Regions from separate parts of the Mus musculus genome. Here region 1 is reported to be linked to region 2. Evidence: microRNA targets listed by miRTarBase, many of them from high-throughput screens and not tested one by one. Region 2 holds a microRNA gene; the other region holds the end of a gene's coding sequence.
What was found. The annotated mature microRNA mmu-miR-540-5p reads CAAGGGUCACCCUCUGACUCUGU and lies in region 2 at 1,516-1,538, opposite strand. An mRNA with a match to its seed (bases 2 to 7 or 8) in the 3' UTR can be bound and repressed. Matches are read on the target gene's strand: a 7mer-m8 pairs with bases 2 to 8, a 7mer-A1 pairs with bases 2 to 7 and ends in A, and an 8mer does both.

Region 1 (4,393 bases), not on the chromosome of region 2:
AGTTTGATTTTAATGCACTGTTGCATGAGACTGCATTGCTGATAGCAGCCAGTGAAAGCAATGTGAAATGTGGTGTAGGTACTTCATGTACTGAGGTGAGCTTGTTGGATACGAAGGTTCCTAAGGATCTCCAGCCTTAGGCTGTTTCAGAGCAGGAAGTCAGACCAGCTATTACTGTTCTTTTGATATTCAACCCCCCCACCCCACCTTTAATTTTTTAGCAGAGACTAGTGTTGTCAAGTCTCTTGACAGTCACTGGACTGGGAATGAAAGGCTGCTACCATGCTCTTGGACCATTATCAATGGCAGTGTTAGCTGATGCCAAGTCATTTTCAATCTCTCAGCTATAGAAAAATAAGTCTCCTCCTGATCTGAAGTGATTAGACTCTAAAGTGGCACTCCTAGTAATATTCTGAATTTTGTGATTCAGAGTGAAGAGTGTGCTGGAGAAGACTAATAGAATAAAATACTTGCCCAGTCACACTGAGGAAAATCAGTAGTATGTATTTGAAACTATTGGCATCTCCCTCATCTACCGAAGAGGAAGTAAAGCTGTTGTAATCCAGATGCAGGCCTTGTACATGCTGTCTGGTGATGCTAGAAGAACAAGCGTTGTAGATGTGAAGAAAAGCAGACTATAAGGCACTGACACTCCACTGGTAGATCCGCTATCTGCACCTGAGGCTTCACTGTGCAACTCGGACCCAGACAGTGTTCTTCTCAAGACCTCTTTTGCTTTAAGGTTGTAGGTTTTGTTTGTTTCAGACATGGTGTCTTCCTGCTCTAGCCTCTCAAATACTAGGATTGTAAGGAGGAGCCACTGTACCAGGAGCAGCAGGCTGTTTTGGTTTTAATTTTATTTTAAAACCACATTGCACATCAGCTATCACGCTTTTAGATGGTTTGTTTTTTTTGTTTTTTGTTTTTTTTTGTTTTTTTTTGGATTTTTTGAGATAGGCTTTCTCTGTATAGCCCAGGCTGTCCTGGAACTCACTTTGTAGACCAGGCTGGCCTCAAACTCAGAAATCCACCTGCCTCTGCCTGCCGAGTGCTGGGACTAAAGGCGTGCGCCACCACCGCCCGGCTCACACTTTTAGAGTTTTTTTAGATGCTTTGGATTCTTTAACTTGCTTCTAGCACACGTTCCACTTCATGGATTTGTTAGGTCATCTTGACTGTCTTCAGAATATATCCCTGAAGTCCTCTGAACCTTTAGTTCCATTATGGACCCAAGCAAGACTGTATATGAACGTTTAACTCTGATTGTATTGGTACATGGAAACTTTTGAAAAATAGTTGCACTAATTATTTATTTAAGTAGCCTTTTGTTGAACAAGCTTAGTTGACTAATAAGACGTTTGGAAACCCAGCAAACAACTAGCTTTTGTAGTCATAGAAACAACTGGTGGTAGGCACCAGGAATACAGTTTATCTTCTGGACTCCTGCTGAGTTGGGGTTTGCAGAAAACACTTGTGAAATCCTTTGTGCTGAAGACTTGCACTGGGGGTAATCCATGGGACAGATGACTCCCTCCCCCTTGTATTATTGAGTACTAATAGGGTTTAAAAACGAAACACAAAATACTCTATGTTGGCCTTTTCCCCCAATCTTAAATTTTTTCAATTTTGGATTCTATGAATTGTTTTGGAAGGATACTCTGTAACAATGAGCCAGGCCTACAGTAATCGGAGACTTTTAATGTATGTAATATTTTATAGATTGCATGCTGTTAATACTGTGAGGTTATTTCCTGTTTTATTGTAAATTTTCCCATTTATTTGCCCATAAACTAAAATATGGTTGATATTAGGAATTTTAAACAAATGTTGAAACTTTGCTGACCAGAATGCAACCACTTTACCAAGACACAGGTACTGAGGGCTCTGGTCTATCCTGAAATGTCTGATTCTGTGCACAGTTCCTTTACCCTTAAAAAAAAAAAAAAGAAAAGACTGGACATGTCTCTTTTTTTGCTGTTAATATTTGAAGGTCCAAGGATCTGAGTGAAAATACATTCTTGTGTTTGATCTTATAGCCAAGGCAAATTAGAAACAAAAATAGTGCCAATATTTTGAAATCTAGACCCAAGATTTCAGCCTGCTGTGTTTGGAATAAATATGAATTTTTAAAGATGTCTCCTACAGTATTTTCCTTTTGGCTACTTCTGTCTTCCTGAGAGGTACTTGTCCTCATCTAGGGATTAGCACAGGACTGCTGAGTTTGCTATTCTTAAGTCACTGGGTGACAATTTTTACCCCCTCCTTTCCTTACCAGTACTACTGCTGTTTATATTGCCTGGCTAGAGACTGGTTTATGCATCTTTACAAATGATGTCTACCATGTAGTTGCCTCGTTAACAGTTTTATGTTGATTAAAGATGATTCTTACGTGTGGGACATCAAAATGATAGCTTGCTTTTATCTTTCAGTTCTCATTTTCTTTTAAGGTCACCTTTCTGCAGTACAGCTTGCTTTACTCTTTTCTCCTCATGGAGAACATGGTGTCTCCCGAAGGCCGCCTTTACGCCTGCAAAGGGCTTTGGTGGAAGAAATGGTTGGTAGACTTCCAAATCTTTGAAATGAATGGGAGCTGTTTACTTATGAATAGCTTTGGCCAGAAACTCCTCCCGAAGGTGACTTGATGTTTCCCTAACACCATTTACTTGGAATCAGAATTTTTGAACTAATAAGCTTTAACAATGTTTGTCCCGGTCTCACCTGAGTGATGCTGTGTTTTAGATAAGCAGCTAGTTAGTTCTTGACTCAGTGCTCGGTTCTCTCTCCACCGGACCAACTGTTGTAACTAAGCGTGCTGTACTTTTCTTTAGAAATAGAGTTCTATCTGTATTCAGGATTATACTTGAAAAAATATGCCATGTTCTGATTAATAACCATCAAAGTATTCAGATTGCTTAAAGGAATTCAAGTGCAACCTGCATTCACCCCTTCTAAAACTTAATTCATAAATACCTTTCTATAAAGCTGTGTGTAGCAAGAATGCATTGTATTTAGTTCTATGCTGGCAGGAACAGAATGGAGCACAACAAAGTACACAGCCTTACTTACGAGAGCCTTACAAAGTTACTAAATGAAGACATTGAGCTGGCTATCTAAATTTACTTTATGCTCTTTGTTTTATTGAGAATCTCTATTTAAAAAAAATCAACAAATGACAGGGCCTAGCTGTGTAAATGACCTTGCAAAATATGTTAATTTTTTTGTAAAAAAAGGATTATTTTCACATTAAAGTGAAGCCTCTTTCGCAAGTTCAGAAATCTATGGGAAAGCAGTTTTTAATCATATTTTATGTCCTATACCTTTTTTTCTTAATAAAATGGTTTACAAAAAGAATGTAAACAATTTATGATCTGGCAGTTACACTAAGGGTTCCCAGAGAGTTGGTGGTACTGAGTAAAAAACCATTCAGGCAACTTGAGCAGACAACTGTTGTCAGTAACATTCCTTGTGTGCGCCATTAAGCACCTCCAGATGAATGAGGGACAGTCACTTAATTTTTAAATTGTATTCGGAATAATTACTGCTGTGTACTAAGAACTTGACCCAAATAAAAATCACACGAAGTATATTGCAGTGTCTTGTAGAATCATTTATATATTTACTACTTCTTTCTAAGGTGGTTCTAAGCATTGATGTACTGTTCAGTTACGTAACATTTAAAAAATTCAAATACTGTTGGACTTCTTGCAAGTTTGGTCTCTGAAATATTTTGTTTTAAAGACAGCTTCTCATTTTAGTTATGAACACGGCTTTTTCCAGATATAACTAAATTTTGTTAAGTGTAAAATTTTCCATCATTGGAATGGGGTTTTAAAACAAAGTGTGGGTTAAGATTCCAGAAAAAATGACTATAGAAGTTCTCTAGTGATTTGAGTGATGTGCAGTTTATCTCCAGAGTGAGGATACTACAGTTCTTGCTGCCTTACAAGCCCATTGTTCTTCAGTGCCTTTGTCACTTCCATGACACATAATGTGGAAACTGGAAAACTCAACTAAAACACATTTTAAAGAAATGTTTTCAAGAAAAGGATTTCTCTGTAAATAAAAGGGTCTTTTTGTCATGAGTATTCTGGTGTCTAAAAATAAATGGGACTCCAGCCTTTTGTTTTTATTAATTAGGGTTTGGATTCACACATTGAGGTGTTGGAGATTGGGAGGGTGCCATCTGTTTCACTGTCCTGTCATTCTGAGTCTACTGTGTACTTTTTTCAGAGCCAGGGTCAAACACTGACGACAGATGGTGAATAACTTTTTGTTTTATTATAGTTTGATGGTAAATGGTAAGGAAATGTGTAACCTGAAACTAAGTGTATCCATTTGATATGGCAATCCTAATACATAATTGTATTTCTAAATCAGTGTGTGTGTGTTCATA
Region 2 (4,393 bases):
GTTTACCCACAGCCCGCACGAACACAGACCATAAAGGACAATAAAGGCCCGCAGGCCTACCAATCTACCCAGCAGGGATTTGTCCCCATTAACAGCAAAAGGAGGTGGTCCGGACTGTGAAGAGAGCTGGTGACGTGCTAAAACGTGCTAAAACGGTAGGTTATCAGGTTATCGGCGGAGCCACTTATAGAGATTGAAAAACACAACACAAACCTTTTTTTTTCTCCTGGGGAAGAGAAAAGAAAAGAAAGAAATTGGTGTGAAAGTTCCTGCTAGGGGATGATAACATCACTTCCAACCCTGTCAAGGTGAAAACCAGAGGCCAGGCCCTGGCTGCAGACTCCACCCACCAAGGAGCTGCCCCCACTTCCCAGCTTCAGTCCCCAACCAGAGAGCTCTGACAGCATCCAGGAACAAAGAGGAGCAGGGGCCCTCCCTTGCCCACCTTCCCTGTCCTCTCCATTGCTTCCCCTTATAAGATGTCCCTGCAGGTACCAGAGCCAGTGACAGCACACACACAGGACCCTGAGTCCAGAGTTTTACCAGCTCCTCACCAGGCTGGAGCAGAGATCTCCACATGCCTGGGTAACCTGGGCTAACTTGGGCTACCCCCATAGTAAGAAAAGGAAAAGAAAATATTACCCACCCCTCAACTGTCCCATACACCTTAAGCCCTGGTGCTGGGCCCAGGGGACCACATCGTTAGACACGATCTGAGACCTGAGCAGCAAACCTCATCTGGACTTTGATCCACCTGTGTGAGCTGAGAGACACGCATGACCATCTTGCCACCAAGACCGTGCAGGAGCACAAGTAGGAAGAAGGAGATTGGGGGCAGAGGGGGGGACAGGGAAGGGAGAGACAGTGGTGAAGGGGAGGGGGACTGGGTGTGGCCTGGGTCCTCCCTGTCCTGCCCTCAAATCCTTTCACAGCTTCCAGGCTATTCACTCAGGGTGCTCCTGTGTGCCGGGGCTGGCTGCCATAGCTGGTAAATGCAGTTAATAATGGTGGTGTTGTGGGGATGGAGATGGGCCCTGTATGCATGCAATGACCTAGGTATTGGGGTTCAGACTCTACGCCAGCTGCTCATTGTGCTACTGAAGTGTCTGTGGGCACCCGGCCTGGGAGGAGGATGAACAGGGATCTTCTGCACTCCTTAGGGGATCCAGAGTTTGAACTGAATGAGGTGAGACGTCTCCAGAAGGGCTCAAGGAGAGAGTAAGAGGCCGCCTGTAAGGGACCTCAGCCTCCTGGTCATAAAAACATAATCCTGGATAGAGGCAGAGGCCCCTCAAGGAGACCCTGTTCTGGGAGCACTGGTAATGCTCAGCCCTGCCCTGTCTCAGCCCTGTGCCCTGCTCTAGTAACAAAGACCCCATCTCTCAAGGATCCACCCTTTCTGCTAGGAGCTGGGTCCCCTCAGAGGACCTCCAGGAGAGAACGGCTCCTGGAATCCCAGTGGGAGGAGCCCCAGAGTAGGCCCAGGATCGACCTCTGACCTGTCTACCCTTGGCCACAGAGTCAGAGGGTGACCCTTGGCCCAGCCCCAGGGAATGTCCCACCAGGGGTATAGCTCCCCCGCCAAGGAATGATCTCAGGTATGGCCCAGCCCCGGGTATTCCCCTCCAGGAACTGTGGAGAATGGCGAGAAAGCATGCCAGGGGAAAAGAGCGAGCTGAAGACGCGTCCCTAAGCGGCCCAAGGTGCGCGGAGGAGGGTCCGGAGGCCTCACGCGGTTGAAGGGGGTGAAGAAAGGCATCATATAGGAGCTGAATGGCTGTGCAATCAACTCCTGCATGACGCCGTTCCCACCCCCCAACTTCTCACTACACTGGGACCCTCCTCTCCTGAAAAAGCAAGGCAAGAAGCACAGACAACAGGTAGGACAGACTCCCAGGGCTTAGTGTTAGAGGAAGGAAACCAAAGGCCAGCCAGCCCTAGGGCACCTGCAGCACAGTGGAAGCATCTACCCTCCTTGCCCAACCTCACTTCTTATAAACTCTCATGGAGTGACTGGAGCCAATCCAGGGGATGAGGAGGGGGGAGAGGGAGCAGAGGGATGGGAGGGAGAGAGGAGGGGCAAGGGAGCACTGAAGGAGGGGTGGGGAAGCGGAGAGGGAAGGAAGGGTGACTGTGGTCACAGGAGTGTCCTGCTAAGGTCCATCCCGAGTATCCAGTGGGTTCCTCTGCAGACCTAGAAGGGACTCATGGGAACCAGCAGGAGCTTAGACGCCCCAGATGGATCCCCCAAAAAGATGCATGGGTTAAAAGCTACTCAGTGTGGTGAGGGGACAAACTGCAGGTACAGCTAACAACCGCTCCCCAGGTTCTTTGAGTGTCAACTTGAGTTACACTCCTCCATGAATAACTAAAAACCACAAACTGCTTTTGCTTGCCTGTTAGTTTTTTTGTTTGTTTGTTTGTTTTTGAAACAGGATCTGTGTAATCCAGAGTGGATCCCGACTTCTCCATCTTCCTGCCTCAGGCTTCCAAGTGTGGCTATGATTGACAGGCCTCTGTCACCATGGCCAGCTTGAATGGCACATGTGTATCACCTTACATATGAATAAAGTAAAAAAAAAAAATCTTTCCTGACTTGTGCTCTTCTCTTCCTTGTCTGGCACACCCACCAACTGCCAACAAACACTTGTCCCAGCATAGTCTCAGAGAGCAGGGTATAAAGAGGTAGTATGGGGGTGGGAGGGAGTAGTAAGGATGGGAGGCCAGAAGACAGGTGAACACAGGTGGGGAAGGGAGGACTCGGTGTTAAGCCAGGGAGGAAGGGAGCTGCACACGACATGTGAATGACAAAGGGTTAAGGCAGCTCAATGCTGTGGTAAGATGCTGCAGATGTCAGTGGGGCAGGGGAGAGAGAGAAGGGGGGCTCAGGGCAGCATGTGGAACACAGCTGCACATCATCCAGGGCAGAAGAGGGTTGCAAAGGGACATGTATGTGTATGGGAGCATAGGGACATGGCTCACGGGAAGCAGGAGGGTCTCAGGGTGACGTATGTCACAAGGGAGAGATGAAGGATATGATATCCCACGCAAAGAGGGGGTCTTCATGTCATAAAGAAAAGAACAGGGACATCCCATGATGCCTACCTACACAGGGGGGTGTCAGTAACATATGGAGAGATTAAGGGATTAAATCTAGCGGATGGGGAGTGGTCCAAGGCTATACATGGGGGAGAGAATCCATGGTACAGGGGAGAAAAAATGTAAATGTGATGTGCAGAGGAGGGGTAACATGACACATAAAAAGAGGAGGGGCTCAGTATGACTCTTGTACAGGAGAGCCTATGACTCCTGAGAAAGAGACTGGGCTGCATGTGGGACATAAGGAGGAGGGGCTCTGATAGAGGAAATAGGGGCTCGGTGTGACATCTGTCAAGGAAAGTGTTCATCACAAGTGGGGAGAAGGACTAGATGTGACACCTATGAGTTGCTTTGTGACCTGGAGGACATGCACGTCACAGTGTGGTATGTGTAGAGGCAGAGCGCTCCATGTCACAAGGCAAGGGGTGGATGTCTCAACGTGCTGCGTGCAGAGGTGGGGCTTCCCAACATGAAGAGAGAGCGAGAGGAGAAGAGTTCCGTGTACCGCATCTGGAGCACCAGCAGGGTTTGTGGTGACTAAAAGGAACGAGGGCTATGGGACACATGATTTAGGGGCCCTCTCACGATGGAGGAGCTCAGAGTCAGGGAGGGGCCTAAGGTGAATGGGGAGTAAGTGGGATGAAGCTCGGGTGCACAGGGCACACGGGTGGGGCTAGGCTAAGCATGACACACGTGGGGAGAGGTGTTCTCTCTCTAGGACACATGGGTAGAACTCAGGTGACCACGACAGGTGTGAGAGGGGGCATACAGAACGTAGGAAGGGTTAGGCTAAGCATGACACATGTAGAGGAATGGTGCTCTTCAGGACATATGGGTGGAGCTAGGCAAAGCGTGCCCCATTATGGAATTTTCTCTTTAAGACACATGGCTGACAATAGCCTAACCCTAACACAGGATGACAAGAGGAGAGGACTCAGTGTGAGGCCAGCAATAAGACATAAGAAATGTTAACACATGAACACAGAGGGTCTTGGAAGTGCAGCCTGATGGGAGGGGTCTGTCCAAGACAAAGCAGGTGTAGTGGGAAACCATGTAAAGATAGGGAAGAGAAACTTACTCTGACCCAGGTAGGGGAGTGGAGCTGAATGTGATACCCGTGGAGAGATGAGACGCAGTGTGACTCAGGACCCTTGTTGTGATTCATGGGTGGTGGGAGGGGCTCTGTGTGTGACATAGGTGTAGAAAGTTTTGACATGTAATGGGGTCTAGATGAGAAACACTTGGAAAAGAGACACAAATGTCTTGTGCGAGGGTAGAGAGCTCATAACTCTGA

Region 1: the mRNA of Abi2 is a reported target of mmu-miR-540-5p. Seed matches in the 3' UTR shown: 7mer-A1 at 1,927-1,933.

The regions. Positions count from the first base shown.
Region 1 is chr1:60,477,573-60,481,965 of GRCm38, forward strand. It overlaps Abi2 (abl-interactor 2), which reads left to right. Exons shown (of 12, transcript NM_001198570.1): 12 at 431-3,591. The coding sequence ends at 435. It also overlaps a transcript of Raph1 not described here. Among named protein-coding and RNA genes, the nearest start is that of Abi2, 70 kb to the left of the region's middle.
Region 2 is chr12:109,583,230-109,587,622 of GRCm38, reverse strand. Mir540 (microRNA 540) reads right to left here and starts at 1,543; the gene lies at 1,477-1,543. It overlaps Mir337 (microRNA 337), which reads right to left and starts at 1,834; the gene lies at 1,738-1,834. It overlaps Mir3544 (microRNA 3544), which reads left to right and starts at 1,750; the gene lies at 1,750-1,810. It overlaps Mir665 (microRNA 665), which reads right to left and starts at 1,309; the gene lies at 1,216-1,309. It also overlaps a transcript of Rtl1 not described here.